2 linked regions of the Cricetulus griseus genome follow. The protein of the gene in region 1 binds, or shares a complex with, the protein of each later gene. Links are inferred from orthologs where the notes say so. Each region holds a gene or a part of one and is shown on either strand. Other genes may lie near its edges. The genes, in order: Gtf2f1 and Polr2h.

Region 1 (15,280 bases):
GCCCTTGAACTACCCATGTAGCCCAGGATGACCCTGAACCCCAATTGTCCTGCTTCCACCTCCCCAGTCCAGTGCTGGGATGACAGGTGTGCACCACCATGCCTGGTTTCTTGCTTTCTGTGGGGACAGGGACAACACCAAAGTCCCTTATCTTCCACACATCTTTAGCTGACACTAATGGAGTTTCACATCTACACAGGGCTTAGGGATGGAGCCCAGGACTTGGAATATGAGAAGCCAGTGCTCTGCCCTCTAAGCCCAGCCCCACCCAACCCAAGGCTTGATTTGTAGTGTGTATTGCACTACATTTGTAGTGGGCATTGCATGTGCAGAGTGTATAAGACAAACATGTAAAAGGATGAAGGTTCTCTGTGCCCAATCCTCACTCTAGGCAATGAGGACACCTGCTGCCCAGACCACGCCCCCAGCCCCTCACTGGGGAATTCTAGGCAGGGCCTCCATCCCTGAGCCATATCTCAGCCCCTCACATGGGGATTTTATGGGTGTTAGAGCACCACCAGGCCTCATCAAGTTTGGGTTTTTGTTTTTTGTGTTTTTTTTTTCTTTTTTTTTTCTTTCTTTCTTTCTTTTTTTTTTTTTTGTTTTTTTTTGGTTTTTTGAGACAGGGTTTCTCTATGACTTTGGAGGCTGTCCTGGAACTAGCTCTTGTAGACCTCGAACTCACAGAGATCCGCCTGCCTCTGCCTCCCGAGTGCTGGGATTAAAGGCGTGCGCCACCCACCAATGCCCGGCTGTTTTTTGTTTTTGTTTTTTTAATATTAAGATTTTATTTATTATGTATTCAACATTCTGCTTCCATGTATATCTGCACACCAGAAGAGGGCACCAGATATCATAACGGATGGTTGTGAGCCACCATGTGGGTGCTGGGAATTGAACTCAGGACCTCTGGAAGAGCAGTCAGTGCTCTTAACTTCTGAGCTATCTCTCCAGCCCTGTTTTTTGTTTTTCGAGACAGGGTTTCTCTGTATTGCTTTGGAGGTTGTCCTGGAACTTGAGCTGTAGACCAAACTCAGAGGTCCACCTACCTCTGCCTCCCCGAGTGTTGAGATTAAAGGCGTGTGGCACTAATGCCCGGCCATTCTTTAAGTCTTCAAGACAAAGATTTATTCTGTGTGCATATCCTAGAGTACACCCATAGTGAGGGCTCAGTGGAAGAGTACTCGTTCTTGGAGAGGACCCAGCTTCCACATGATGGCTCACAACCATTCTAAGTCCAGTTCCAGGGGATCCAACACCATCTTCATACCTAGACCTCAAAAGCAGGCCAGCCAGGCTTATCTGTGGTGGACATACATACATGCATGCAAAACGCATATGCATAAATTTAAATCTCTCTTTAAAAGGAATTAACTATTACCTGTCCAGCCAACAGCTTGCTGTGATGATGCAAGCCTGAGTCCTAGAGTTCAGTGGGCATAGGCAGGATTTCAGGGGCTTCCTGGCTATAGAGAGACACTGTCTCTAGAAACAGTCAGAAGACAAACACAAGCCAGCCAGACAATGCTGCCTCACTGTCATCCTAGCGCTAGGGAGATAGATCAACATCAAGGTCATCTTTGGGTGCTTGAAGAGTTGGGGGCCAGCCTGGGCTACATGAGACACTGAGGACTGAAGCTGCTCCACCCTGACTCCCAGCCCACAGTTCCCTTGGGTTACACAGTTAGTTTCACATTTTAAAAATTTGTGACTGATATTTAAACAAAGTGTGGGGGGTGCTAATTCTGCATCCCAGCTCCCAGCTTCTCTTAAAACCACTGGCTTGGTAATGTGGGGCCTGCAGGTCCCCATGGCAACAGCAGTGGGAATGCTTCCTGAGCCCATTGGCAACACAATGCATGAATAAATTCGCCCTCTGGAATCTTCCATGGCTCACACCATCAGCATCTATGTGTGCTTTTGAATATGAAGGCCAACAGTACTTTCCACTGTTGTTCCCCACCTTAGGGTTTTTTTTTTTTTTTTTTTTTTTTTGGTTAAAAAAATTTTTTTAAGTGTATGAGCCAGGTGGCGTTGGGACATACCTTTAATCCCAGAACTCGGGAGGCAAAGGTGGTGGATCTCTAAGTTCGAGTCCAGCCTGGTCTACAAAGCAAGTTCCAGGGCAGCCAGGGCTACACAGAGAAATCCTGTCTTGAAAAACAAAACAAACGAATTTATGCGTGTAAGCATTTGCCTGGGTGAGTTTATGTGCACCATATACACACACAAGTCTGTAGGGGCCAGAAGAGGACATCAGATCTCCTAAAACTGGAGTTACAGATGGTTGTGAGCCACTAAAGAGCAGTCAGTTCTCTTAACTGCTGAGCCCTCTGCAGGCCTGTTTTGTTCAATTTATTGTTTGCTTTTTTGCTATTTTTATTTATATCTCATGTATGAGTCCAAGTATACCTGCATGCCAGAAAAGGGCTTCAGATCCTATTATAGATGGTTTGAGCTACCATGTGTTTGCTGGGAATTGAACTCAGGACCTCTGGAAGAGCAATTGGTGCTCTTAACCATTGAGCCATCTCTCCAGTCCTGTTTTTTTTTTTTTTTTGTTTTGTTTTGTTGTTGTTGTTGTTGTTGTTTGAGACAGCTGAACTCTCCATGTAGCTTGGGCTGGCCTGGAAATCATAATCTTCCTGCCTTACAGGAAGGTCACAGGCCTGCCTCTCTATGTGGCCTTCTAACTCTTACTGCACATGTGTGGGCTGGGGGTGGTGGTGGATGGGGCAGAGGACACGCCCTGGTCACAGCCCTGGGTTCCACCCTAGGCATATAAACCAGGACTGGTAGCACAAGCTTGCCATCCCAACACCCCAAAGGCAGAGGCTGGAAGGTTAGGACTTCAAGGTCAGTCTATCCTAGTTAAGAGTTTGAGACCTGCCTAGACTATGAGAGCTGAAGGAAGGAAGGCCTCCCAGCCTCAGGCCCCATCTCATCATCCACTAGTGCTTTAAGGGGAGTAGAGAGAAGGGTAGCATAGACCCCCCCCCACCCCCCCCACCCCCCACCCCCACCCGCACCCAAGGCACACACACTCAAGGACACTTTGGGGTCGGGGCACTCACAATCCGCTCAAACTCTTTGGCCTGTTCCAGCTCTCTGGGGAAGCCATCGATGAGGAAGCCTCGGCTCTCTGGATGAGCCAACATGTTGTCACTGACCATGTCCAGGATGAGACCCTGAGAACAAAAGGGCACGGACTCAAGACTCAGTGCCCAGGACCTGCCACCCCAGAGAGGCCAGGTGCTACAAAGGTCATTCAGTTTGGAACTCATGTGAGACAGAGGAAAAACCCAGCACCTCAATCACTGGCTTCCTTTCTGCTTGCAGGCTTTTCATTTTTGTTTTTAGGAGACAGGGTCTCTCTGTGCAGCCCTGGCTGTAGTAGAACTCATAAACCAGGTTGGCCCCAAACTCATAGAAACACGACCGCCTCTGCCTTCCAAATACTGAGATTAAAGGAGTGCACCACTGCCACTTAGAGGTTTGTTAGATCCGGGTGTTGGTGGTGCCTGCCTTTGATCCCAGCACTCGGAGGCAGAGGTAGCCTAGTCTATTGAGTGAGTTCCAGAACAGCCTCCAAAGCCACAGAGAAACCCTGTCTCGAAAAACAAAAAAAACAGTTTATTAGATTTTGGATGGATGGTGGTGGTGGCACACACCTTTAATCCCAACACTCGGGAGGCAGAGTAGAAGAATCTAAGTGAGTTCAAGGCCAGCCTGGTCTCCAGAGCGAGTGCCAGGACAGGCTCCAAAGCTACACAGAGAAACCCTGTCTCAAAAAACCAAAAAATAAATTTTTATTTTGGAGCCTATCCTGGCACTCGCTCTGGAGACCAGGCTGGCCTCAAACTCACAGAGATCCGCCTGCCTCTGCCTCCCGAGTGCTGGGATTAAAGGCATGCGCCACCAACGCCCAGCAAAAATAAGTTTTTTTAAAAAGTTAAGATTTTTTGGGGCAGTGGTGGCACATGTTTTTAATCCCAGCATTCTGGAGGGAGGTGTATCTCTGTGAGTTCAAAGTCAGCCTGGTCTACAGACTGAGTTCCAGGACAGCCAGGGCTACACAGAGAAACCCTGTCTGGTGGAAACAAACAAATAAAAAACAAATAAAACAAAAGTTTATTAGAGCTCTTTATTATGGATCTAGTTGCAGGGGATGTTGTATGTGCCACAGCACCTGTGGGGGCAGAAGACAAGCTATATTGGTTCCTCCTTCCTGTGCATTCAACTAGGTTGTCAGGCTTGGCTCAAGGGCCTTCACCCACGGTGCCATCTCTCTGACCCCTGGCATGGACTCTCTAACGTAGTCAATACCATCAAACTCATCCTCCTGACTCCACCTCCTGAGTACTGGGTTGTCCAGTGTCTACCCAATTTCTGAGGTGCTGGGATGGGACCCAGGACTTTGTGCATGCTCTACCAACAGATCTTCCCAACAGCCCTCATAATGGCTTTTTTTTTTATAAGAGTTTTATTTGTATGAATGTTTGCCTACATGGATGTCTGTGCATGTGTGCAGAGCCCTCAGAGCATAGAAGAGGGCATCAGGTCCCCTGGAACCAGAGTTACCGACAGTTGTGAGCCAGCATGTGGGTACTGGGAACCAAACCCAGGTCCTGGGCCAAAGTAGCAGGTGCCTTTAACTGCTCCCACATCACAGTCTTCTCATGACAGTGTCGGTATGACAAGGCAGTGCCTGGGCCAGGACACCCTGGCTTCCTGGGGACTGACTCTGTGTTGTCTTGCCCCCCTCTCCCTTTAACTCTCACCGTGGGCACCAGGAGTCCCTGCTGCATGATGTCCCGGATCTGCTGACCCCGCCGGGTGCACCTCTGAGCCTCCTCCCGCAGCAGCTGGCCCAGCCCCACGTGGCAGAAACCGTACTTGGTGGCCATGTTTCTGCACTGTGTCCCTTTCCCGCAGCCAGGGCCGCCCACCACGAAGATGATCAGGGGAGACTTCAGGACATCTGTAGTGTTCATGGAAGACAGTGGGTACTAGTGCGTGTCTTCAGGGTGCCCTGGTCTCGAATCGAAGGATCCCAGTGCTGGGATTCTCTTGAGCCATTTGCACAGACCTCCTTGGAGCACCCTTGTAATTCCATCACCCCATTTTACAGATAATGAAAGGGAGAGGCCCTCAAACTCACGCAGCCGCACCCTGCTCAGTCCAGCATGCGGTGGTCCTGTCTAACCTACCTGCTTACGTCTACAGTCACACCTCCCCCCGTGCTGGGGTCAAGCGTCCCAGCTTGTCCTCCCCCTGCCTCAGACCCCCCTCCCCCCATGCATTCCATAGTCAGCCATGGTTCTTTCTCTCTTTCGGCTCGCTTTGGTCCTCCTAGCCAGCCTCTGTAACCCAGGGTGCATGGCCCTTGATGGTGAAGAAATGAATGTCTCTGCTACCAACCGTGGAAGTCAGTAGCCGTTTATGGTTCAAGGTTTGTGCCTGCCTTGTCCCTCTGCTTAACCAACTCCTATGCATCCCTCAGGCCCCCGTTCTCTGAGCCCTTCCTCTAGAGCTGTAATTCCGCAGGCATCCACCACTGGGGGGGAGAGGGCATGCGCAGCTGCGTTCTTGCCGCGTTAGTGTGAGCACACCCGCACGGTGGGTGGGATACCTGCTCCCACGCCCCGTCCGCCACCCGCGTAAGCCAACCACCCCACCACGTTACCCTTCTCCTGGGTCCTCAAAGTTCTGCCCACCTGGGGCAGCGTGGACTGGCACAGACCCATGTTGCCCGCATGCCGGAGTACGCGGGGGCCGGGTTCCCACCTGCCCCGACCCCTTGGCTCCGCTCGACGTCACAAGGGGCTCATTTTTGCAAGATGCCCGGAATTCCCCCCGGCACCCGGGGCACAGAAAACGGAATCCCAGCCCCCCGCCCCCCCCCCCGGAGCCCCAAGAGTCCTCTCGCGGAGCCGGCCGCGGTTGCTATGGCAACGCGGCCTCCGCACCCGCCACTGGCACGTTGGCGCATGCGCAGGAGTGCCGAGGACGCACTCGCCAGAAGACGCCACTCCCACCCTGCCCAGGATGCACCGCGGTGCCTGAGCCGTGACGTCACGAGGGGCGTGCCCACGCGCCGTGAATAAATCACTCGCGCTGGCGGCGAGAGCGCTAGTCAGAGGCTGGAGACCGCCTGAGCTAGGTGAGTGCTGAGGTAGCTCCCACCCCGGTGTGGCAGTTCTAGTTCCGGGTCAGAGTCACGTCTTCTTGAGACTTAAGGGTTTGGAGACACAAAACACAGGATCATACCAACGTAACTCCCGGGCAAGTTGCCTTCCCCGGGACCGAGGGATACCACGAAGAGCATCGGATCACGCCGCCCCGGAACCGCTTGAGCAACGGCCATGGCGACTCTAGTGAGTATGAATGAAACGGAGAGGCGGGGTGGGGGTGGCAGGACAGATCCACGGCCTCTCCTCGCCTCACAAACCCGTGCTTCCTCTGCAGAGCCCCGGCAGCCAGAACGTCACCGAGTATGTCGTCCGAGTCCCCAAGTAAGTCACCCACACCCACCACACGCTCCTCGGCCCGGTGGTGGCTCCGTGCAAGTCACAGTAACAGTCACACCGTAGTTAATGTCAGGCTCGATGACTCTGTCCTATTTTCAGACGCTCAGGCCACACACGGTGGCTGCGTTTAATCCGGGAGACAGAGGGAGGTGGATCTCTGGGAGTTTGAAGCCAGCCTGGAAGCCAGAGCGCGTTCCAGGACAGCCAGGGCTACACAGAGAAACCCTGTCTCGAAAAAAAAAAAAATTCCCAAACTTAGATGAATGCGAGGCCAAGTAGTCCACCATTAAGCCATACCCAGCCCTCTCTTATTTTGAAGACCAGTCTTACTGTGTAATGTAGTTCTAGCTGATTTGACCAGGCTGGCCTTAAACCTACCAAGACCCTCACACACCTCCGCCTCTTGCCTGCTTGATCTCCTCTTTTTCCCAAGACAGGGTTTCTCTGTATTTCTTTGGAGTCTGTCCTGGAACTTGCTCTGTAGACCAGGCTGGCCTCAAACTCACAGAGATCTGCATGCCTCTGCTCCCCCCTCTCCCTCAGGTGCTGGGATTAAAGGCACTTGCCACCACTGCCTGGTGGCCCACTTTTTCTTTTATTATCTTTATGTGTAAGAATGTTTTGTCTGAGTCGGGTGTTGATGGCACACGCCTTTGATCCCAGCACTCAGGAGGCAGAGGCAGGCGGATCTCTGTGAGTTCGAGGCCAGCCTGGTCTCCAGAGCTAGTGCCAGGATAGGCTCCAAAGCTACAAAGAGAAACCCTGTCTCAAAAAAAAAAAATGTTTTGTCTGCATGTATAGTTATGCACTGTGAGCATGCTGGGGCTTCTGGGTGTGGCTAACTTCTGATAGGGTTGGAGGAGATGGATCCATTTTATTTTATTTATTTATTTATTTATTTATTTTTGATCTAGCTTCTTAAACAAACTCTGGAGCAGTGGTTCTCATCCTGTGGGTTGTAACCCCTTAGGTTCAAATGACCCTTTCACAGGGTCTAAGACCATTGGACCATTGGTCTAATTAGACCAATGGTCTAAGCCTAAGACCATTAGAAAACACAGATATTTACATTATGATTCATAACAGTAGCAAAATTAGGAAGTAGTAACGAAAATAATTGTGTGGTTGGGGATCACCCCAACATGAGGAACTGTTTTAAAGGGTGCAGCTTTAGGAAGGTTGAAAACCACTGCTCTGGAGCTTTTATGAGTTCCCAGAATTACCTACAACCAAGGGGTGTAATCATGGTGGATTTTTTGAATGACTAATCAGTAGACTGAATTTTCTCTTGCCCATTCCAGGAACACAACCAAAAAGTACAACATAATGGCTTTTAATGCAGCTGATAAAGTCAACTTTGCTACCTGGAACCAGGTAAGTCTATAATTCTGGGTGGCTGGGGCAGAGGCCTAACTGGGTGGTGGTTACAGTCATCACTTTCTTGAAGTGGTGGCGGCTACACTTACAACCCTGGCAGATGTGTGGTTCCAACCATTTGGAGGTGTGGTCTGACTACATAAATCCTGTCTCAAAAAAAAGCAAGCCTGGGTTGTGGCTGGTTAATGGAGCATCAACTAGCATATAGCAGGCCAAGTAGGACCCCATGTGTGCTGGACTTGGTAGCACGTGTCTATCATCCCAACACAGGCATGCGGTATAGGTTCTTAAATTGAAGACTATCCTTGGCTATGAAGTGAGCTCAAGTGAAGACTAGGATACCTGGACCATGCTTTAACAAAGACAAAGTATGGCGGGCGCTGGTGGCACACACACTTTTAATCCTAATCCCAGCACTAGGTGTCAGAGGCAGGTGGATCTCTGTGAGTTTGAGGCCAGCCTGGTCTACAGGGAAACCCTGTCTTGAAAAACCAAAAAATAAATAAGGAAATTTTAAAGGCCAAAGTTTTAAACTGTCCACTATTCTGGGTGCCATGTTAAAATGCTATATCTCCATATTGTCTGGTTGCATCTGAGCTATCCCCTGGTGGACACCGCCTGTCTCTGTGGTCTTTCTAAGGGCCCCATTCCCTGGAGTCCCTTTTGTGTGTGACATTTCGTGTGTGCACATGCACTTGTGGGCATGTGGTGCATCTCAGGGCCAGAGGTTGACAACAGGTGTCTTCTTTAGTTACTTTGCACATTATTATTTGGATGACATATGTTAGGCCACAGATGAGTGTGGGACACAATTTGGAGATCAGAGAACAGCTTTCAGGGGTCAGTTTTCACCTGCCTGGGTCTTGAAGTCTAAGGCTTCGCAGGCAACACTCTCTCACAGACTTTCCTCATGAGTTTCTGAGTCAGGGTATCCCACTGAACCTGGGCTTGCTGACCAGTGAGTTCCAGGTACCCTCCTGTCTGTTCCTGCCTGCTGGGGCCTCAGATGCATGTGGCATTGCCCAGCTTTGTTCCTGGGTACTGAGAATCCAAACCCTCCATTCCTGATGCCCAGAGCATATGGAATCCAGCAGAGGGAGACAGAAGGGTGTTCCTGTGGGGCCTGAGGATCCATGCCTGCTGCTCCCCCAGGCCCGGCTAGAGCGAGATCTGAGCAACAAGAAGATCTACCAGGAAGAGGAAATGCCAGAGTCCGGAGCAGGCAGTGAATTTAACCGAAAGCTCCGGGAGGAAGCAAGACGAAAGAAGTATGGCATCGTCCTGAAGGAGTTCCGGCCTGAGGACCAGCCTTGGCTGCTTCGGGTCAATGGCAAATCGGGCAGGAAGTGAGTGGTACTGATGGTGGGAGGGAGGGCCTGCCTGTGTCCCTCACACATGCACACTGTGGGGGCATCCTCTCTGAATCTGTTCCTAGCATGGTGGGGTTAGGGGGGGTCCCAGTACCACCTCCCTTATGAAAGTCTGATCTGGGATAACCCCTTGGGAGAGGGTAATCCATGGCAAAGGAGATAGAGTCTCATGGAGTCAGTGACAAGTATTCTATGCACAGTAGCCATGGTGGGTTATAGGTTGGGAGTAGGGCACAGTGCAGCATGACCCAGTTCTGAAAGCAGCCTTGAAGATGGTGGCCACAGGTCACATGGTGACTTGAGTGGTGATTTGTGCTAAGGAGATCGTGGCCTGTGCCCTTCTGTCCTAGGCATTCATTCCAAGAAAGCCCAAGTGGGTTCTGAGGAGGGGCAAGTCCCTGTGTGTAGGTTTGTGACCTGACCGTAGGCTCTCCACAGGTTCAAGGGCATAAAGAAGGGCGGAGTGACAGAGAACACAGCCTACTATATCTTCACTCAGTGTGCCGACGGTGCCTTTGAGGCCTTCCCTGTGCAGAACTGGTACAATTTCACACCGCTGGCCCGACACCGCACACTCACTGCTGAGGAGGCCGAAGAGGAGTGGGAGAGGTGAGCCACAGGGGTCGTACTGCAGAGAGCCTTGCAGCAAATCCACTTGGTGCAGGCAGCTGGCTGGCCTGGGAACCAAGTGAGGGCTGGCACCACTAATTGGCCTAGCCTTCCCATGACAACTGCTTCACTTCTTGCCTAGGAGGTAGAGTCCAGGAAGCTGGGACAGAGAACTAGGGAGGCCCAGCAAAAGGTGTCCATAGAAGGTTGCTGGCTTTTATGTGATGTGTGTGGTTATTCTGTACCTGCCTGGAAGCCTGGACCAGTTCTCAAAGGGCCAGGACCGAAATGTCAGAAGCAGCCCCTCCCCCACACATAGTCTTATTCTAGACATGTATAGACGGGTCCACAACAGCTCCTTGTCCAGTGAGACCCCTGGTCTAAGTAATCCATGAGATAAATTAATTGTTGGGGATGTGGTGTGGGATAGTACGCATGCATACTGGTTGTCCTAGCACCCAGAAAGCAGAAGCAAGAGGATCAGGAGTTGAAGTCCATCCCCTGCTCTGTATTAAATTTGAGGTCAGCCAGGGTTATATGAGATCTGGTCCCAAAACAACACATGGTGTGACACATGCCTTTAATCTCAGCACTCTGAAGGCAAAGGCAGGAGCATCTCTGTGAGTTCAAGGACAGCCTGGTTTACAGAGCAAATTCCAACTCAGCCAGGACTATATAGAGAGACCCTGTCTCAAAAAACAAAACAAAAAGACATAAAGGAATATTAATTAGCTAACATTAGTGGACAGCTGGTTTTAACTGGAATAGACCCTGAGCCTGGAGGAGCTAGGATGTGGGGCTCCCTAGATGCTCAGTTACACATGGCATCTCAGGGCTCACCGTGTATGGTTTCAAGATTTGGGGATCTGAAATGGCCCAGGTTGCCTAGTCTGCCCCTTTTTTTTTGTTATTGGTTGGTTGGCTGGCCGACCAGGGACACAAGGGCTGCCTAGAGCTTGCTGTATGGTTCACTTTGATGACTCCGGGGTCTTCCTGCCTTAGCCTCCCACAGAGGCCATCCTGTTATGTCCAATTGAGTGGCCTGGTCACTGTCTTCCACCATCCTTACCCAAGCAGCTCCTTTGCTGTCCCCTGCCGCCTCCACCACCCGCCCCAGAGTGCTTAGTCTCTGTCCCCATGTGCAGGAGGAACAAGGTCTTAAACCACTTCAGCATCATGCAACAGCGGAGGCTCAAGGACCAGGACCAGGATGAAGATGAGGAGGAGAAGGAGAAGCGCAGCCGCAAGAAGCCCAGTGAGCTTCGCATCCATGACCTGGAGGACGACCTGGAAATGTCCTCCGATGCCAGTGATGCCAGTGGCGAGGAAGGTGAGCGGGTCCCCAGAGTTTCTAGTTCAAGGACAGGGCCACCAGTGAAGCTGCATGGTCCCTCTTGAAATGAATGGCAGCTTAACAGAATTTCCATGGGATCAGTTTGTCTGAATGTTCTAAGGGTGCTGTGCTGCAGGTCACAGGCCTGGGTGACTGAGTGACAGGACTGGTGGAGTGGGATGAGGGCAGCGGGCTGAGTGATTTGCACAGGAGGGATAAGTGCCTAGGCTAGCCTTCTGCTTTCTCTACAAATTGGCCTAACCTGAGGTGCAGTCTCCTTGTCAGGGAATAACATATGAAGACATACCACAGATGGTATGCTGGCTGTGATCCCAGACCATAGGCCAGAGTTCATAACCAGTCCTGCCTGGCTATATGGACTCCCACCTTAAAAAACAAAGGTTTTAATCCTAGCACTGCAAGGCAGAGGCAGGTGGATCTGAGTTCAAAGCCAGCCTGGTCTACAGAGCAAGTCCCAGGACAGCCAGGTCTGGCTACACAGAGAAACCCTGTAGCAACCTCCGCCCACCCCCTCCCCCCCCAAAAAAGAAACCAACCTAAAAAAGGGTTAGTTGGATGGCTTAGGGGTAGAGAACCCTTTACTGAAGTCCCACACAACACAATGATACAAGGTAGGGGTTGGTGGCATGGCTCAGGTGGAACCCCTGCATAGCCGTGAGCAGTGCTCTGGGCTCATCCAGACTGATTCCCCTCCTGTATCTTTTTTTTTTTTCATAGGCAGCAGAGCCTCTAAGGCTAAAAAAAAGGCCCCAATGACCAAAGGGGGCAGGAAGAAGAAAAAGAAGAAGGGCTCAGATGATGAGGCCTTTGAGGACAGTGATGATGGGGACTTTGAGGGCCAGGAGGTGGACTACATGTCAGATGGCTCCAGGTGAGGCAGTTCGAGGCAGTTCGAGGCAGGCCTGAGGCGGGCCTATCTATGGTCATCCATCTTCATGTTTGCCCTTCTCTACTTCACAGCAGCTCCCCGGATGAGACAGAGGGCAAACCCAAAGTGCCGCAGCAGGAGGATGGCCCCAAGGGTAGGTGTCAGTTAGGGACCAGCTGGAGATGGGGGTCCACTTGCAGCCTTCCTGCTCATACCTGTGTCCCTAGGTGTGGATGAGCAGAGTGAGAGCAGTGAAGAGAGTGAAGAGGAGAAGCCTCCTGAGGAAGACAAGGAGGAGGAGGAAGAGAAGAAGGTCCCCACTCCACAGGAGAAGAAACGCAGAAAAGGTGTGTAGGTACTTAAAGCTCGGCGATGATGCCGCATTGTACTGCTCTCCTGGACCTGCTCACACCGGTGGTGGTGGTGGTGGTGGTGGTGGTGGTGGTGGTGGTGGTGGTGGGCTCGGTGGCTCGGTGGGCTCGGTGGGCTCGGTGGGCTCGTGTCGGGGCTCGGTGGGCTCGGTGGGCTCGGTGGGCTCGGTGGGCTCGGTGGCTCGGTGGCTCGGTGGGCTCGGTGGGCTCGGTGGGCTCGGTGGGCTCGGTGGGCTCGGTGGGCTCGGTGGGCTCTGCTTATGACCCTCCTTTGGCCCATGCAGACAGCAGCGATGAGTCAGATAGCTCAGAGGAGAGTGACATTGACAGTGAGACCTCCTCTGCACTCTTCATGGCGGTAAGGCAGATCCCCGGGATGGGATGGGATGGGATGGGAGTGGCAGTCTGAGCCTTCAGACTTACACCCCAGTCTTTGCAGAAGAAGAAAACACCCCCCAAGAGGGAGCGCAAGCCGTCGGGCGGTAGTTCTAAGGGTACCAGTCGACCAGGGACTCCTAGTACAGACGCAGCAAGCACCTCTTCCACCCTGCGGGCTGCAGCCAGCAAGCTGGAGCAAGGTGAGTACTGGCAGAGCCTGCCCTGGGGGAAATGAGAGCTGATGGCAGCCCACACATCCTTCTGTACACTGGGTGCCCCATCTGCCCTCCCCACCCCACCCCCCAACATTCCTCTTTCCACCAGGGAAGCGGACAAGTGAGACCCCAGCAGCCAAGCGCTTACGGATGGATGCTGCCCCTCAGAGCCTATCTGGGAAGTCCACACCCAGCGGCGGGTAAGTTCAGACCCAAGTAGGGACCACAGGCAGGACTCAACCACAAGGGACTCCTGTGTGACCAGACTCTCCCTCCTTCTACCTCCCACAGTGATGTCCAGGTGACAGAGGACGCTGTACGCCGCTACCTGACTCGTAAGCCCATGACCACAAAGGACCTACTGAAAAAGTTCCAGACCAAGAAGACCGGGCTGAGCAGCGAGCAGACCGTGAACGTGCTGGCGCAGATCCTCAAGCGCCTCAACCCTGAGCGCAAGATGATTGGTGATAAGATGCACTTCTCCCTCAAAGAGTAATGCTAATAAACAGAGCAGACCCAGAATGTGTGTGAGTCCTTATTGCCACCTCAGCCCTCCTCCTGGGGCCCTGAGGCTTCATTTTATAGGATACACCGTCCCCTGTGCAATCTTCATGAGTTTAATTTCACTTGTAGAAGCTCTGCCCTGACCACTTCCCTAGCCCCTACCTTGTATCATTGTATCCTGTGGGGTTTATGGTAGACCTTGTCTGGGAATGCTCAGCTTCCAGCCATCCTTCAGGAATGCAGGCTTGGGATTTGCTATTTTTGTAGCACAGCAATGAAATGGTGGGACTCATACTTCCTACTCCCACCTCCACCTCTGGAGTGCTGGGATCATAGGCATGTACCACTAGCAGGCATGGCTCTTTTACTTTGTCTTTTGAGAAAGAGTCTTGCTGTGTAGCCCATGCTAGCTGGGAACTCAATTTCCCAAATGCTAGGATGACAGCCATATCTCCTGCATACAGCCCAGGCCACTTAGTACAGTTCTTGACTCAGGCACTTCCTTTCATGGCTACTGGAATCCAAACCTATTCCTGGTATTGGCACCTGGATGCTGTTTTTCATTTCCAAGTGACATTCCTGGGGTCCCCCTTATCTCCTGACAGGCCTAGTAATATAATATATCTTATGAAAGCTAGCCGGGCGTTGCACAGAGAGAGTGCTTTACATTCTTGGGTGGTGACATGGCTGCTTGGTCCTTGGCCTCAGCTGCTGCCTTGAAAGCTGGGTCCTGAACAGTTTGGGTACAGGGAAGGCTTCCTCTCACTGGCAGCCCGACACTAGTGGAAACCCACTCCCACTTCTGCCTCTCCTAGCTGGTGATTGGAAATGGCTGCTTTAAAAAGGGGTTAATCTCTAGGAATGTCCCTGCTCACTGAACTTCCCTTTTCCACTATCTAATGGCCCTTTGGAAACCTGGGCCTAAGGCAATGATCACCCTTGGGCAAGCAGAGTATGCATGACCTTGTGGTTAGGGGCAGAGGTTTTGTGTTTCAGGGGACCTATTTCAAACTTTATTCTGCATGTCAGACAAGGTGATTTTAGGTTTTGAAAACCATTGTTTTTCTTTTACTCTTTGAGATAGAGTCTCATGTAGCCCAGGCTGGCCTTGAACTAGTGATTCTCCTGCCTCAGCCTCCCCAGTGCTGGCTGAGATCACAGGCACGCACCATCAAGTCATTTTATGCTGTGCTTTGGATGGAACCCAGGGCTTTATACGTGCTCAGCAAGCATTCTACAAACAGCTCTAGTTGTGTGTGTGTCCGTCCTGTGTGGCATGTGTATGCCATCACATGTGATTGTCAGAGAACAACTCTGCAGTCACTTCTCTTCTACCATGTGGATTCTGCAACTCACACAGGTCAGGTGGGGTGGCAAGGGCTTTACCCTGCCAAGTTCTCACTACTGCTTACTGTTTTAAAATGGCCTCACTCTAGCTTATACTGGCCACAACCTGCAGCAATCCTGCCCTGACCACGGATGGGGTGACCAGGAGTGAGCAGCATGCACTGCCACACTCAGCATCAGTTTTACTCCTTGGCCTCCAAAGCCCTTGATCTGTTGTTGCCCATGTCCACTGGCTGGTCTCATGGCTTCAGAAGTTGGCAGAACATGCTCCTTGGGAATGATGGGACCCAGCAAACTCTAACCTCCCCGGTTGGCTATAGCTGTGGCTTTTCAGGTTGGCCTTCCAAGAACGGGAGT
Region 2 (15,257 bases), on another chromosome or scaffold:
ATCTGTGTGAATCCCGTCTGGGAACCAGGCGGCCATGCTTTCACCCACCAGCCGCCCAAATGCTGCTCCTTCAGGGAGGGTTTTAGGAAGAGAAAGAGGTAGTGGGGGAACACTAGGAAGAGAGAGGGTCAGAAGGTGGGGGAGGGGCCAGTGGGTCATTTAGTACATAGGGCAGTCCCATGGGAGTGGGGGTTTGGGCTAGAGTTGGGCCAAAACCCAGTTCTGGGCAGAGGAGGGATCTACAAGGGACAGCCAGAGGGTATGAAGGGCACAGGCTGGAAGGCAGGCAGCTGCAGACTCACCAATGACAAAGACAGGCATGAAGGCCCCACAGGGCACTGGGATGGTAGTGGCCAGTGCAGACATCCAGAACTGTAGGCAGGAAGGGTTCAAAAGAGAGGCCCCAGGGAAGCACCTCTTACCCATCTACCAAGCACAACCTTCCCAGCTAGCCCAGAATCCCCAGAGATGAAGGGAAAAGAAAGGACTCTGGAACTAGAAGGCTGGGGTTCAAATCCTCTCATCCAACCAACTGCTTTGGCAGTTACTTTTCTGTGTCTTGCCTCACCATCTTTAAGACAGGGATAAGAGTCCCTTTGTCACAATATTTTGAATGCATGGTAAGTGCTTGGGATGGCACATGTTCCTAGTGGCCTGGAAACCAGTAGTGGTGTATAGCCATGGAAGGAGTCTCACCTTCATGAGAATGAAGATGACCAGAGTGAGAAAGACATTGGCACGTGGTGGATTCCAGGCCTGTGAAGTGCTGGGTAGTTGTAGATCCTCTACCAGGCCCTGGCGGACCCACGTCCGGTTGTCAAACAGAGTGACTAGGGTCTCTTTCTGTGAGAGCTAGAGTAAACAGAGTGCTTTAGGCTGGGACACAGGACCCCAGGAAGAGTCCCATAGGAGTCCATGGAAACACGGGGTCGCAGTCATGCTGGGGCTGTTGGCTTTGGAAAGGAATGCATCTGGGTGAGTGGGGGGGGTCACATTTCGGCTAAGGGCTACCTGTCCAGCCATGAACTGTCCAAAGCCAGGGGGGAAGGTCAGAGTGGAGATGAGCAGGGTCACTAGTGCCGGGAAGAGCAGCCGTCTAGAGATGGAGGTTTTACAGCATCAGACAAAAGTCACACACCTCCCATGGACTGATCATAGGCCAGGTGCTCTTATATACCTCAGGACTAAGATCAGAGCAGGGCTTATATATCAAGGTACAGTGCCTGAGAGTAAGTCCTTTTTTAAATTTAAGATTATTTATTTATCCATTATGCATACAGTGTTCTGCCTGCATGTATGCCCTGCACACTACAAGAGGGCACCTGATTTCATTTTAGATGCTTGTGAGCCACCATGTGGGTACTGGGAGCTGAACTCGGGTCCTCTGGCAGAGCAGCTAGTGCTCTTAACCACTGAGTCATCTCTCCAGCCCCCGAGAGAGTAAGTCCTTTTTTATTGTGTTTGATGCCACAGCTCCAAGTGTGATGGTGGATTGGGATTATTATAAGAGCTAGGAGTGGAGGGGTCCTGCCCTAACCCCATAGGGGGCAGCAACAGCAAACCCATCTCTAGCCCTGTTTTGGAGAAGTCTGAGCTGAAACTGCCTCAGCTCTCAGAAGCCCAGTTGAAGGGCGAGTGGTATGAAGGCTTAAAGAGGCCTCTACCACTGTCTGCCCTCAATGGTGACCTAAAAGAGAGCATTGTGAGCTGAGTGTGGTAGCGCACGTCTTTGATTCCAGCACTGGGAGGCAGAGGTAGGTGCACTCTGGAGATCGAGGCCAGCCTGGGCTACACAGTGAGACCCTGTCTCCAGAGCGAAGGCGGTGGTGTAGAAGAAGCTCTGAAGAATGCCTTCCTGTTCCCAGTTCTCAGGCTCATAACGCAAAGAGCTGTGTTCTGAGATAAAAAATATCCATCCACACTGGTCATGGGGTAAACTGAGGTACAAACACACTGTCTGCTATCTGCATGAGGCCTGAAAACCTTGGCCTTTTATGTCAAGTGCCCCTGCCCCTGAGTAAAGTTCAAAAGTAACAGATCCCAGGTGGCTGCCATGGATACAGGTCATAGCATCAGCAGGAAAACATTAGCTGATTAGCTACCTTTTACTCTTTCATATGAGAGACCTAGTGTCACACTGTAGCCACAGTGGGTTTAGACCTTGCTACAATCCTGCCTCAGCCTCTGGAGTGCTGGGATTATAGGTGTGTGGCACTGCACCTGGCTGAAGTGCCTGATTTTGACTGGGCCTCTACTTCAAACCCTCAATGCCTCTCCATCTCCCCATGTGGCCCTTAGACAACCCAGAGCAGCAGAGAAAAGAGTGCGCCACATACTTCCTCATGAGGAAGCGGTTGATGGTTTTTTGCTTCCGCATCACCTGGACAATCTTCCGGTTCAAGTAGACAAAGAGGGCTCCCCCGAAGCCACTAGCAATACTGGAGAAGAAAGAAGTACCAGGGTAGAGGGGAGGCCTTCTCATGGAAACCTCCTTGCTATCCCACACCCTCCTGTAAGCCCCTTACCCAATGACAGCAAAGGCTGGCAGTTCCTGTAGGTCAAAGGGGAAGTCCAGTCGGAACCGAGTTTTGAAGAGAGCAGTAATGGTTTCTGAAGGGAAGAAGTACAGGGTGGCAGGTAAACTTGTGTTCCACTTGCATTACCTTAGATGCCCTCACCGCCCCCAATATCCCCACCTTCATCACGGTTCCAGACTGCCAAGACCCGAAAGATGAAGGCACTGAAGGTGGCCGCAAAGAAGCCCCGCCAGTAGTTCCTAACAGCGAAGAAGGTGGAGGTGACCTCAATGCTGAATAGGACCCCTGCAAGGGGCAGAGGACATCGCCCTTGAGGCCAGAGTATGGCCTTCGGAGGACTTACTCCCAGGAGAAGAGGGGTTGAGGAGGAGAGGCCAAATGTGGGGCTAGGCTATGCTGACTGGAGCCACGCCTACCTCCGATAGGTGCTGCAAAGCAACAGCCCACTCCCACTGCGCATGCAGCAGCCAGCATCTCTGTGTTCCGGGATTCGTTCTGGCAAGGGTGGGGGCACAGAGTCAGTTTGGGCTCAGCGGTTACCCCCCCCCCCGTCAGATATTAAGGTTCTCCTTTTACCTCATAGATGCCCCCAAAGAGGGAGAGGAACTTGCTGAGAAGGGCAGCACACATGCTGGCAATGTGTACAAAGGGTCCCTGGTGGTAGGGGTTGGTTGTGAGTAGGGACAGGGCCTTCCAGACCTTGCCTGGCCTTTTCTTCCAATGGGAGGGGCTCCTTCATTCCCCAACCTGCAATTACCTCTTTGCCAAGGGGCATCCCACTGCCTAGGGCACAAGTTAGCCCAATGACCTTAGCTACAAAGGTCTTGAGGGTGAGGTATTCTTTTAGCACCACTCCCCGAAGGATGGTTTTCATCTCAGGGATGCCAGATCCTGCAGAGGTACATACCCAGGTAAGTCGTCTGACACTTTCATTCAGGAAGCTTGAGCCTCCCTCAATCCCTCCTATCCTACCGACAGCCTGTGGGGCCAGGATCTGGGTGAATCCAGCAGAGAAAGTGATGAGGACGACAGGGTAGGTAACCCAAGCCAGGTACTGGAGTAAGATGTTGGTGTTTAAGCCCCGGGACATCCATTGCTGAGCTGTGGGCACACGACATGCTTGCTGGACTTCTGGTGTACATATCCACACCTTGCCTGCCACTGGGACACACTGATATGACAAGTGTACAGAGCCGGGGCACAGAGAGACTGAAAGGCCCTATAAGGCCTTTCACTGGGACAAAGCCCATCATAGATAAGGCAGATGGAGGGCAGGCAAGAAGGTGTGGCCTGAGCAAGCGGCAGTAACTATGCCTGGAGATGGGCAGTCAGCCTGGCCAGACAAAGTGGCCAGTAGCCAAGTGACTTAAACAACTGTGGCATGGAGGAAACAGGTTGGCCCTTCCCAGCCTTTGCCCTCACCCTGTAGACAGACAGCGATGGCATAGTCCATGGCCCAACTGACCAATGCCATGAGGAGCCCCAACAGGACCAGGAAGATCCAGTCTTCACCAACCCTGGACACTAGGAACTTGTGGCAGCGTACAGAACAAACTGGAGGCAGGGAAGGGAAGATCCATAGAGAAGCTGGTACCAAAGTGCTCTTACTCATCCGTCTCTCCCCATCCCCCATGGGCAGCTCTAATGGTCTCTGCCTCCCCCAGTATAGAACAGTCAGGTCCCTGCCCCAATCCAGGTCTCACTGCGGCATCTGGCACATCGGCTTTGTCCATACTCCAGGAGCTCTGGGGGAGCTCGGGCAGAAGGGGACCCCTTCCAGGGCTCAGGCCCTCCCAGGCGAATCCGAGCAGCTTCCTCTTTGGCGAAGGCCCCAAGTTCCTGGGTGTACCGGCCATACATCTGGAACCACAGATAAAACATGGCATTAGCATGTGTGCCTGAGGTGGGGAATGCAGGGAGGGTTCCTGGGTTCTGACCCTGCTTTGCTCAGCTCCCACACTGTGTACCCCATCTTGAATCCAGTTCTCACTAGGCTCAGAGTGTGGGAACAATGCACATTGCAGACTGCGGGGGCTGTCCTGGCCAGAGTGATGGGGACAGACAAGGTACAGGGACACAACTCTGGGGGTGGCAGAATAATCAGTCCTCTTCTGGCGAGCCAGGAGTGAGGGCACTGGGGAGGAGAGGGAAGGGTCCAGAGGAGGGAAAAGATGGAAAAACCTAAGGCACAGTCTGAAAGTGGGAGGCAGGAAGGTCAGAGACTAAGGGATGGTCAAGGGCGTATGAGCAACAATAAGAGGCTGGTGGAGCTGAGAGCAGCTGAGCTGGGCCTAGGAGGTCCCAGCCCCAATCCTTATCACGTTCCTACTGGGCCTTTGGCCTGTGACCAACTCAGTGGCACCCTTCCCACCCACCCTAATCCCCTTGTCCTCATTCTCCACTCCCAAACCCCCATTAGCCCGGCAGCCCAGCTCAAAGTGGAAAGCCTCTTTGGGTGGGTAAGGCAGTGTTGGGTGATTTCAGTCCCTCTGGAACTGCACTTGGGGCCAGTGACAGGTCTTGGGGACAGCAGAGGTTGCAGATGGCAAGGCTGTGACTGTGGTACAAGGCTGATGGGAAGAGAGTTATGGCTGGACCTGCCAAGCTGGGCGTGTGTTGGGGGGTGGGGAGGAGTAGATTCTGGCTGCCACCCGCGGAGCTTCAAGACACAAAGGGCTCCTGTTGGGGTTGGGGTTTGTGTGTGTGTGTGTGTGGGGGGGGATAGACAGAGCTCGGGTGAGACACAGAGGAAAGGGAGAAGCAGAGGGAACGGAACTATATAGGAAAGAGGGAGAAAGACCCGAGAGCAGGGAGGAGGAAGAGACCAGAGTGTGGAAACACAGCAGGTGGGAGGAGGTGAGGGCCAGACAAAAGGGTAGGAGGGGAAGTGGGAGAGGCCAGAGCAGGGAGAGCTTGACCCTGAGAGCTCATTTCATAGACACAGGGAGATGGAGTGGCGGCTGGTGCAAAAGAGATACCATTTCAGAGTTTAGGTGCCTGGCTTCCATGGCCAAATGCCCCTCTCCTTGACCTGTGCATGGCAAGGATAACAGCCATTGCCAACAAAAGGGCTTGCCGGCACTAGCGTCACTCACACCTACCACCTCTCCCAGTCATCCAGTTTCATACAGTCTCTGGTAATTGGGCACCTCCCTGACTCAGTTACAATCCAGGCCCTCTCTCAAGGAGGTTCCTCCCTGACACCCTCCAGGGCAAATTCCAGCCCGAGCTGATAAAACGGAGCCATAGGGCCAGTTTCTTTCTGTAGGGCTTGGGCCCCCCACCCTAGTGACATGAGGGTGAATGGCTTCTTAACTCTTGACTTGCTATGAGTCATCTCAAAGCTCAGGACCCCTGCTTCTGATGAGGTCAAGGGACACTCCATGGGCGTGGGTGGTAGTGGTGGTGGGGTACCTGCCTAGATCCAGCTAGAACAAAGGTTCCAATTCTCACACCCATTCCTGCTTCCTGCATCAACCCTCAAGCTTCGGTCCCCAGGGTGACAAGCCACCTAAGCCAGCCACCTTTCCCAAAAGTTCGACTGAGGGGTTCTTGTCAATGCTGGACTTTGAGTCTTTAAAGGCAGGGGGTAGGTTTGGATTTGATTACTTCCCTGCAGTCTTTATGTCCAGCTTAATGCTGTGGCATAGTAGGGACACAGGGAAGGTGTAGAATGTGGATAGGCATTTGGAGAAAGTTCACAGGTATCGAGAAAGGGTACTGGGGTGCTGTAACTTGGTAAGTGGAAAAAACAAAATCGTGTCAGCCGAAGGGAGTAAGGGGAAGGACACCTGGGCCAAACACCTGGTGTCATTGTCCTCTCCAGGCCACCAGTCTCAGCCAGAAACCAGCAAGCAGCTTTCAAACACCCTGAACCTATAGCCTGTCGGATCCCGAACCTCAGTTTCCACAGCTGAGGAAGGCTGAGGCCGGGCTTGGGTAGGCCGCCTGTGCTCACACTTCCTAGGGCAACCTGCAGCAGTGGTGCCATAGCGCACCCCTTAGGTTTCACTTACCAGGGTCTGCTCATACTGCAGCGCCCGAGGCTCCATCCCTTCCCCCGCCGCCGCCGCCGCCGCCGCGGCCGTGGCGGCCGCCATCTCGGTGCACTGTCCTCTTGCCTCCCTTGGCTTCTCGGGCTCTGGCCTTGACTCAGCTCCCGGCCCGCTGAGCCCGCGCCCGCACCCGTCCCGTCCCCTCAGCCCCGGCGGCCGAGTGCAGAGTGCGACGGTCCCCGGGCGCGCGCCGCAGGCTCAGCCTCTCGCTAGCGTCCCCTCCTTGGCGGGCGGGCCGAGGGCGGTGCCCTGCTTGCTGCTCCGCCCTGGCCCATCTGCAGGGGCGTCCGGTCGGGCTGGGGTCTGCATTGGAGCCGCCTCCTGGCCTCCGGAGAAGCGGCAGGGGGCGCTTGCAACGCGATCTTGCACCCCTTCTCTGGGGAGGCCGGGGGCTGACCCGGCCCCGAGAGGGTGCGGGGCCGGACGGGGGCGGGTCCGCTGGCACGTGGAGGGGACGGGCTCTCGGGCGGCTGCAGCGTTGTGCGGGAGGGGCTGAGGATGTAGTGACTCCAGGGCTGGGGCAGGGGGCTGCTGACGAGCTATCTCGGGCTCTCCAGGCCAGACTCGACTGGGGCAGCCTCTGCTTCGCGTTTGCTGGCGGCTCAGACGGGTCTGGGAGGATTCCTGAGAGCCCGCTCCCTTATCGCCTCCCTTCCTCCTTTCTTCTTTTCCTCCGGGTTCCCCCGGGAAGGTGCACCTGGAACTGCTAGGCCTGGAGATCGGGGCGGAGGTGGAGGTGGGAGGGGACGGGAAGGGGTGAGGCCCGAGGGAAGGGAGCTATTGGTGCGGGGGAGGCTGCTCCTGGGAGGCGGGCGTGGGGGAGCAGAGGTCGCTCCTCCCAGGCATCGCTTAAAGGGGGAACTTGAGTAGCTGCTGACGCCTCGAGGAAGCGGCCCAGTGAAGCTCTACGTTGTCTTTCGGGATCCTTGGAAGGATAAGAACAGTGTGGCGTTGGCACAAAGAGGATGGACAGCGTTAGGTTGGTGCCACTGGAGAGGACGGTGCCCAGAAATCCGTGTAGAAAGAACAGCATCAGGATGAAGACTCATTCAGCAAACAGAGGGTGGTGCTCAAGGGGAGCGTACGGTGCCCAGTACGGGGGCTGCGATGAAAGGAGATAGCACCTGGAAAGAGCGCGCTGCGAGCTGTCGTTTCCCAGGGAAAGGCCAGTGTCGGGTGGAAGCGCACTGGATCAGTGTCCAGAAGAGGGTAGTGTAGTGGGGTGACAGGCAGTACCAAGTTCAATTGGCAGTGTTCTAGGGGATCAGAGTTAGTGCCAAGCAGGGCCAAGGGAAGACCGGCGTGGCGAGGAGGTGAAGCCCCAGGCGAGGGCACAATGCGGGCTTTCCTTTCCCTGACAGTGACATCACGGCAAATTCCCAAACCGGACGGACCCGGCTCGGGTGACGTCTAGCTGGTCAGAGCCAGCTCGGACCAGCGTGGGGAACCTTGGTGGCCGTCCGAGGGGCTGGGCACTGCGTCCCGCTGGGCGGGCGCTCTGCGGGTGGAGTTCGGCTTCACCCTCCTGCAGCACGGACTGTGCCCTCGGCGGGCACGCGGACCGCAGGGAAGGGCTAGGGCCGGGCTCCCTCTGGGCCAAGGATCAAGGTTCCTGGCTGGGTCCGGTCCCGGAGCCTTCCAAGCATCGGGATCCGGGGTCTGAAGAGGGCGCCCTAGAGCCGGGCGCATCGCGGTACCCGCCGGGGGTGGGACTTAGTCTGTCCCCGCCTTGGGCGGAGTCACCGCGCTTTGAGACTCGCCCACAAGGTCCGAGCCACTCCGAGGTGGCCTTTCCCGGCGGAAGTGAAGGAGCCCCGAGGGGAGGCAGCGGAAGTGGCTGCGTTGCTGAAGCCTGTGCGCATGCGCCCTGCGGCTGGTTGCCGCTTTTTGGGGCGGTACTCTGCCCTGTCTTCTTTTCTCCACGTGAGGGGGTGCGCGAATTCCCAGTGGTGGCCGCGCGCTCCGCACCTCTGCAGTTCTCGTGCCCCTTACGATGGCGGGCATCCTGTTCGAGGATATTTTTGATGTGAAAGACATTGACCCAGAAGGCAAGAAATTTGACCGAGGTAAGGTGTGTAGGGGAGGTGAGGAAGAGGCCAAACATGCCCACCCACCCCAAGTGGCCCGTCCCACCCTCTCGGTACCTCCCTCAGGAAACAGTGTTTTTCATAATGAGAAACTTGGGACAGCTTTTCCTATGATGTTTGCGGTGTCTGGTGCCTCGGTGGCCCTTGGCTTTGGGGTTGGGAAAGCCCTGGACACCTTTCTGACTCCTTATTCAGTATTACGTGCTGTATGTACCGTGCGCCTCTCTCGCACACTTAAGTATTGTAGTAAGAAGTGATGGTGCCCGATCTATTTTGTTACTTAAGGCCGTGCAGCGAGTTACCTCCCTGTCTTCCTAACCCATAGTTTTGTATTGCCCCAAGAATTGTTAGCCCTTTGCCGAGTCCTCTATAAATTTCATGCAGCTGACTGCTTGGTGTATTCATTTCCCAGTAATCCGGAAGTTGTTTCTTCTCAGTGTCACTTTACCTGGAGACAGACCCCCCCCCCCCCAATACAGATTCTCTTTGTAGCTCTGGCTGTCTTGGAACTTGCTTTGTAGACCAGACTGGCCTTGAACTCAGAGATCCACCTGCCTCTGCCTCCCAAGTGCTGGGATTAAAGGCGTGCCCCCCCCATTTTTAAAGACAGGTGTCAGTTCTCAATACACCCTGCCTATTCCCTCCGCAGAGTGCCTACTAGGAAGTGGGGATCTCTGGACTAATGACTATCTTGTTCAGAGTTGAGTTTAGTCTAAATCATCCAGGTGTGCTTAGAGCCTAGAGACGGGTTGCTGCCAGAGAAGTTCTGCTTCTTTCTTGGGATCCTGACACTTGCTGAGGTGTTTACTCCCTTTCTTCTCTGAATCTGATTTGGATTGCACTCTGTGTCTGTGTCCCAGAGCAAGGCTAATGGCTGTGGACTAGTTGAAAGATTTGTTCTCCTGCATTCGACCCCGACTCTGTTGCCTGTAATTATGTCTGTCGCTCTTTCCCAGTATCTCGGCTGCACTGTGAGAGTGAATCTTTCAAGATGGACCTCATCTTAGACGTGAACATTCAGATTTACCCAGTGGACTTGGGTAAGTGTCCAACACAGGAGCTAGCAAGTGAATTTTTTTGTTTGTTTGTTTGTTTTTCGAGACAGGTTTTCTCTATGGCTTTGGAGGCTGTCCTGGAACTAGCTCTTGTAGAACAGGCTGGTCTCGAACTCACAGAGATCCGCTTGCCTCTGCCTCCTGAGTACTGGGATTAAAAGCATGTGCTGCCAACGACTGGCTTTAGCAAGTGATTTTTATCTTTGGTTTCCGCTTGATGCTCTTTTCAGGTGACAAGTTCCGATTGGTCATAGCTAGTACTTTGTATGAAGATGGTACCTTGGATGATGGTGAATACAACCCCACAGATGACAGGCCTTCCAGGTGAGGCGGTGGTAAAGGAGGGACTAAATAGATAAGTAGTACATAGAATGGTCTTTATTTTACTGCTAGAAAAAGACATTACTGCACTTAGAATTCACACAACCAGAACTGGGTGTGATGGTTTGTGTCTGTAATTCCAGAACTCGGGAGATGAGGCAGGAGGATGAGGAGTTCAAGAACACCATTGGCTGCACATCAAATCTGAGACCAACCTGGGCTGGAGACCCTGTCTCTAAAAAATTTGAAAAAAATTTCAAACAACTGGCTTGATTACTTAGTGAGAGCAGTGAGTGGAAGCTTGTGAACTGCAGTTGTTTATTTATTTGAGACAGGGTCTCACTTTGTAGTCCTGGTTGGCCTGGACTATGTAGACCAAGCTGGTCTCAAACTCACAGATGACATCCACCTCCTCTGCCTCCTCAGTGTTGGAATTAAAGGTATGTACCACCACACCCTGCAAATGTAGCTTTTTTAAGGCCTAGAAAATGATTACATAGTAACCTAGATTTTGGTGTGACAGAAAGACTGTGGAGTATTGGGTCTGGTGGTACACACACTTAATCCCAGCATTTAGGAGGCAGAGGCAGGAGACCTCTGTGAGTTTGAGGCTAGCCTGGTCTACATAGCCAGTTAGGACAGCCATGACTATATACTGAACTTTTACTTCTCAGCTCCACTACTTCCATCTTCCATTTCCTTATCAATAAAGTACAGACAGTCATTTCTAGTTCACTGAATTGATGTGAAAGCCAAATAAGGTTGCGCTTCCATGGCATTTGTTGTTATCAGTTTCTATTTTAATTATTTCTATCTTTTTGGTTTTTCGAGACAAGGTTTCTTTGTGTGGCCGTGACTATCCTGGAACTTACTCTGTAGACTGTCAGGCTGGCCGAAAACTCACAGGCCTCTGTCTCTGCCTCTGCCTCTGATTCCTGAGTGCTGGGATTGTGCCACCATGCCTGGCTCAGTTTCCATTTTTAAATGTCTCTTACACTATTGATTGCTGTGAAAAGTAACTTTGCCTATTGTTTGTAGGGCGGACCAGTTTGAGTATGTCATGTATGGGAAAGTATATAGGATTGAGGGGGATGAGACCTCAACCGAAGCGGCGACACGTCTGTAAGTAACATTGTCTGGCTGTTAATAATCCAACCTCCCTGTTGTGAAATTGGGTCATGCTTCTCCTTCTGTATCAGGTTCTTTGTTTTTTCTAGTACCCGAAGCCGGGGTGGAAGAATTTGTTTTGGGAACAGTTTCTAGTCTGAATTTTGATTACTTACATCACCTGCTATCAGGATTTCAAGGCCCTGTGGCCCACAGGAGACTTTGGTAATCTTGCTTCATGAGGGACAACAGAGAACATCTTGGGGGATCACAAGCAGCATTTCATGACTAGGCCTTTTTATTTTTTACTTGTGTATGTGTTGCTACTCTGTAACCCAGACCTTGGTTCTTTAGTTTCCCTGCCTAATTTTTCTTTTTCTTTAAAATTGGTTTTAAATGCCGGGCAGTGGTGGCACACGCCTTTAATCCCAGCACTCGGGAGGCAGAGACTAGTTCCAGGACAGGCTCCAAAGCCACAGAGAAACCCTGTCTTGAAAAACCAAAACAAAATTGATTTTAAAACAATATGGTTGTTAGAATCTTGAAGCAGAAAATTAATGTGAAAAAGAACAAAAGTCACCTAGGAGGACGTTTTTTACAATTTAAATAGCTGGTGTGGTGCACACCTTTAATCCCAGCACCTGGGAAGTAGAGGCAGGTAGATCTCTGTGAGTTCAAGGTCAGCTGGTTTACAGAGTAAGTTCTAGGACAGCCAGAGATAGTGAGACCCTGTTTTGAGAAAACAAAAACAAGCGTTGGAGTGGTCTAGCTGTCTTTTTTCTTTTCTTTTGTTTACTTTTCCCTTTAAGATCCTTTATAATGTTTTCTTTTTTTTTTTGTCTAACATACTTCCCTTGTCAGGTGAAAATTCCCCTCAATTTTATTTTATTTTATTTTATTTTGAGATAGGGTCTCTCTATGTAGCCTGGGCTGTCTTGGAACTCACTATGTAGACCCAGGCTGGTGTTGAACTCGGGAGCTACTTGACTGCCTCCTGATGCTGGGATTAAAGACATGTGCCACCCTCCTGATTCCTTAGCATTTTCAAAAAAGTATTTTTTTATTTGTGTGTATGCATGCACGTGGGTGCTTATATGTGTACCATGTGCAGGTATGAGACCACCAAGGTCAGAAGGGGGACATTGAACACCTTGAAAATGGGGTTACAGGTGGTTGTAAGGTGCCATGTGGGTGCTTGGGGGTGGTGAATCCAGGTCTGCATTCTTCTCTCCAGCCCCTACCTCAGTATCCAATAGCTGTATAATATTGCAATGAATGGTGACACCTTCATTTGTGTGAACAACATTGTAATGAATGGTGACACCTTCATTTGTGTGACTACTCTCCTATTTTGGGCATAGCAGCAGCGTTTACTCCTCCACTAGAGTAAACAACACTGCTTTGTGCATATCTGCATTCAGGTTTGTCCCAGTCTTTGGTTCCTAATGACAGAATGCTAGGGGAGTGCCTTTAAAAAAATGGACGGAGAGCTGCTGGGAAGCAGCTGCTTGAGAGCTCAGACTCAGGACCAGGGACCTTCTGTTTCAGCTCTGCCTATGTGTCCTATGGGGGCCTGCTCATGAGGCTTCAGGGTGATGCCAACAACTTGCATGGATTTGAGGTGGATTCCAGGGTGTATCTGCTGATGAAGAAACTGGCCTTCTGAACCTCGTGGGAAACCAGCCCTGCTGCTTAGTCATTCAAGTCATGGACACTGTTCGAACCTGAGTAGAAGCTGGCGTTGCTGACCTGTGAAAGGAACTGGCTCTGTGTCCACTCTGGATACAGCTTCAGTTTGTCTGAATTCAGTGGAAAAGTGACTTGTCTGTAGAAGGTGCAGCGGGAGAGCGCAGCATGAATCTCAAGTTGTGTATGATTTTTTTTTTTTTTAAATTAAAGCTTACTTTTTCAGACTCTTCTCTTGAATTGGGGGTGGGGTCATCCAGGGTTTACTTTTGCTGTCTAGCCTAGGCTGGACTTGGACTTGATCCTCCTGCCACTGTCTTCTGAGTTTCTGGGATTGCTCACACCTGGCTTATGCAATGCTGGGAGTCAAAACCAAGGCTCTTTTGTGTGCAACAAAGGAGGTATCTTCCCCCCCCAGTGTGTGTGTGTGTGTGTGTGTGTGTGTGTGTGTGTGTGTGTGTGTGTGTGTGTTTCCACCATCTGTGTCCTGGGGGTTGAACTGAGGTTCTCAGGACAAACTCCTTTACTCACTAAGCCTTTTTTTTTGCTGACCCCCAGTTGGTCTCTTGATGCCCTGGGTTTCTCACAGGAGCTGGTGGCCCTGCTGGGATGCCTGGGGTGTTTCCTTTCCCGTCTTTTTTTTTTTTTTTTTTTTTTTTTTTAGTCTTTACAAGAGGTGTTAGAAATGGTGTAGTGTTTAGGGAAATGGGTTGAAAATGAGTGGCCTCAGCGGGGAAGAGCAAAGGTTTTTTCTTTTTTCTTTCCACAGTAGGGTGTGTGTGACATATTGGGGGTTGGGATGAATCTTAATAGAATCTTTTAATCATCCCATGGAGTCAGGTTTTGGAGGGGGAGACCCTCATTAGAAATAAGTGATAGAATGTCAAGTAGACAGTAGGCTGTTCCAGCATAGGAAAGGGGGACTTAAGTAGAAAAGCTTTCAACATTTATTTGTGTGTGAGGGGGAAGATAACTTTGAGAAGTCCCTTTTTGCTGCCGTGTGAGTCACCTTCAGTGGCTGAGCCATCTTGCTATCATAATCCTGTTTTTGTGTGTATGTAGGGGAAGAAGTGATAGAATCAGCTGCACAGAATCAATTTGGTTTAGACTTTTCGCTTTGGTTTTGATGGTGCAGGATCAAACCCAAGGCTTACTAGGCAAGTGTCATGTCACTGAGCTGGTTCTTCAGGCAACGTTTAAAAGTTTTAAAGGTGGAATAACACCTGAAATAACAGCTGAAATAACAGCTGGTCATATAGCCAAGGACGACCTTGAACTTGTGATTCTCCTGCCTCAACCCCACAAAGTGCTGCTATTATCAGCATGCACCGTCATACCTAGTTTCAGGGTCAGTCTTTTTTTTTTTTTTTTTTTTTTTTTTTTTTAAAGATTTATTTATTATGTGTACAGTGTTCGGCACCAAGTCTCATTATAGATGGTTGTGAGCCAATATGTGGTTGCTGGGAATTGAACTCAGGACCTTTGGAAGAGCAGGCAATGCTCTTAACCGCTGAGCCATCTCTCCAGCCCCCCAGGGTCAGTCTTAAGAGGGCAGATTTCAGATTGGTTTACATTGTAGAAACCAGTTTCTCAGATTAGCACGTATCAGATGCCTGGAGCGTTAGCTATGTCGCAGCTCAGTATCCTCACCTGTCTTCTGACCGATGAGAAGCTGAGAACCCACATTTTTGGCTGGCTTATCTTGTTCAGAGTGCCAGCTCTTCTGTGCTGTAAAGTGTTTGGCTTGATGATTGTGGCTTTTGTTGTTTTTGTTTTTGTTTTTACTGTGCTGAGGATTGAACCCCGGACTTTGTGTGTGCTAGGCAAGAGCCCTGCCACTGAGCTATGTCCCTGCCGTAATACAAATTAATTTTTGAGATACAGTACAGTCTTTTGTAGTCCAGGGTGGACTCAGATTCCTTATATAGCGGAAGGTGGCCTTGAACTCCTGATCCTCCTGTCTCTGCCTTCTAAGTTTTGAGTTTACAAGCATGTGCCATCATGTCCACCTTTTTTTTTCCTTTTCAGTTTTATTTGTGTGTGTGTGTGTGTGTGTGTGAGATGTGTGTGAGATGTGTGTGTGCAAGTGTGGACATCAGCATGTGGTGGCATGCATAATGAGGTCTTAAGACAACTTTTGGGAGTTGGTTCTTTCCTTTCCCATGGGTTCCGGGCATCAAACTCATGTCAGGTTTGCACATAAAGCACTTTCACCTACTGAGCCATCTCACTTGCCGTAAATTTATTTTTAAATGTTAAGTTTAACCTCCTTCAGTGTTACAACAAACTACAAACTATACTGAATGATCCTGGGATTAGTCGTGTAGATGAAACTCTCTCCTGTGTAGAAACTGACAGTGCCTTGAGATTTTGATACCATTTTTTAGCTTCATGTATTTGTGGACTCCT

Evidence for each region.
Region 2: Gtf2f1 (region 1) and Polr2h share a complex: the UniProt entries of both Homo sapiens proteins name them as parts of the TBP-based Pol II pre-initiation complex. The link is inferred for Cricetulus griseus from reciprocal best matches to the Homo sapiens genes GTF2F1 and POLR2H.

Annotation. Positions count from the first base shown.
Region 1 is NC_048598.1:96,541,671-96,556,950, forward strand, and holds Gtf2f1 (general transcription factor IIF subunit 1), read left to right. Parts: upstream 1-6,100; 5' UTR 6,101-6,365; coding exon 6,366-6,377; intron 6,378-6,462; exon of another isoform or gene 6,463-6,468; coding exon 6,469-6,515; intron 6,516-7,831; coding exon 7,832-7,904; intron 7,905-8,982; exon of another isoform or gene 8,983-8,987; coding exon of another isoform or gene 8,988-9,059; coding exon 9,060-9,253; intron 9,254-9,715; coding exon 9,716-9,886; intron 9,887-11,031; coding exon 11,032-11,216; intron 11,217-11,957; coding exon 11,958-12,111; intron 12,112-12,200; coding exon 12,201-12,262; intron 12,263-12,335; coding exon 12,336-12,455; intron 12,456-12,763; coding exon 12,764-12,837; intron 12,838-12,918; coding exon 12,919-13,057; intron 13,058-13,181; coding exon 13,182-13,272; intron 13,273-13,363; coding exon 13,364-13,568; 3' UTR 13,569-13,594; downstream 13,595-15,280. Other genes in the region: adenylate kinase isoenzyme 1-like, read right to left, coding at 3,075-3,188, 4,782-4,981, 5,687-5,747. UniProt on the Homo sapiens protein: TFIIF is a general transcription initiation factor that binds to RNA polymerase II and helps to recruit it to the initiation complex in collaboration with TFIIB. It promotes transcription elongation.
Region 2 is NC_048597.1:67,927,943-67,943,199, reverse strand, and holds Polr2h (DNA-directed RNA polymerases I, II, and III subunit RPABC3), read left to right. Parts: upstream 1-8,243; 5' UTR 8,244-8,585; coding exon 8,586-8,658; intron 8,659-9,635; coding exon 9,636-9,719; intron 9,720-9,964; coding exon 9,965-10,058; intron 10,059-11,093; coding exon 11,094-11,177; intron 11,178-12,710; coding exon 12,711-12,828; 3' UTR 12,829-13,075; downstream 13,076-15,257. Other genes in the region: Clcn2 (chloride channel protein 2), read right to left, coding at 1-68, 303-372, 697-852, 1,012-1,096, 2,337-2,438, 2,526-2,610, 2,697-2,822, 2,954-3,032 and 6 more. UniProt on the Homo sapiens protein: DNA-dependent RNA polymerase catalyzes the transcription of DNA into RNA using the four ribonucleoside triphosphates as substrates.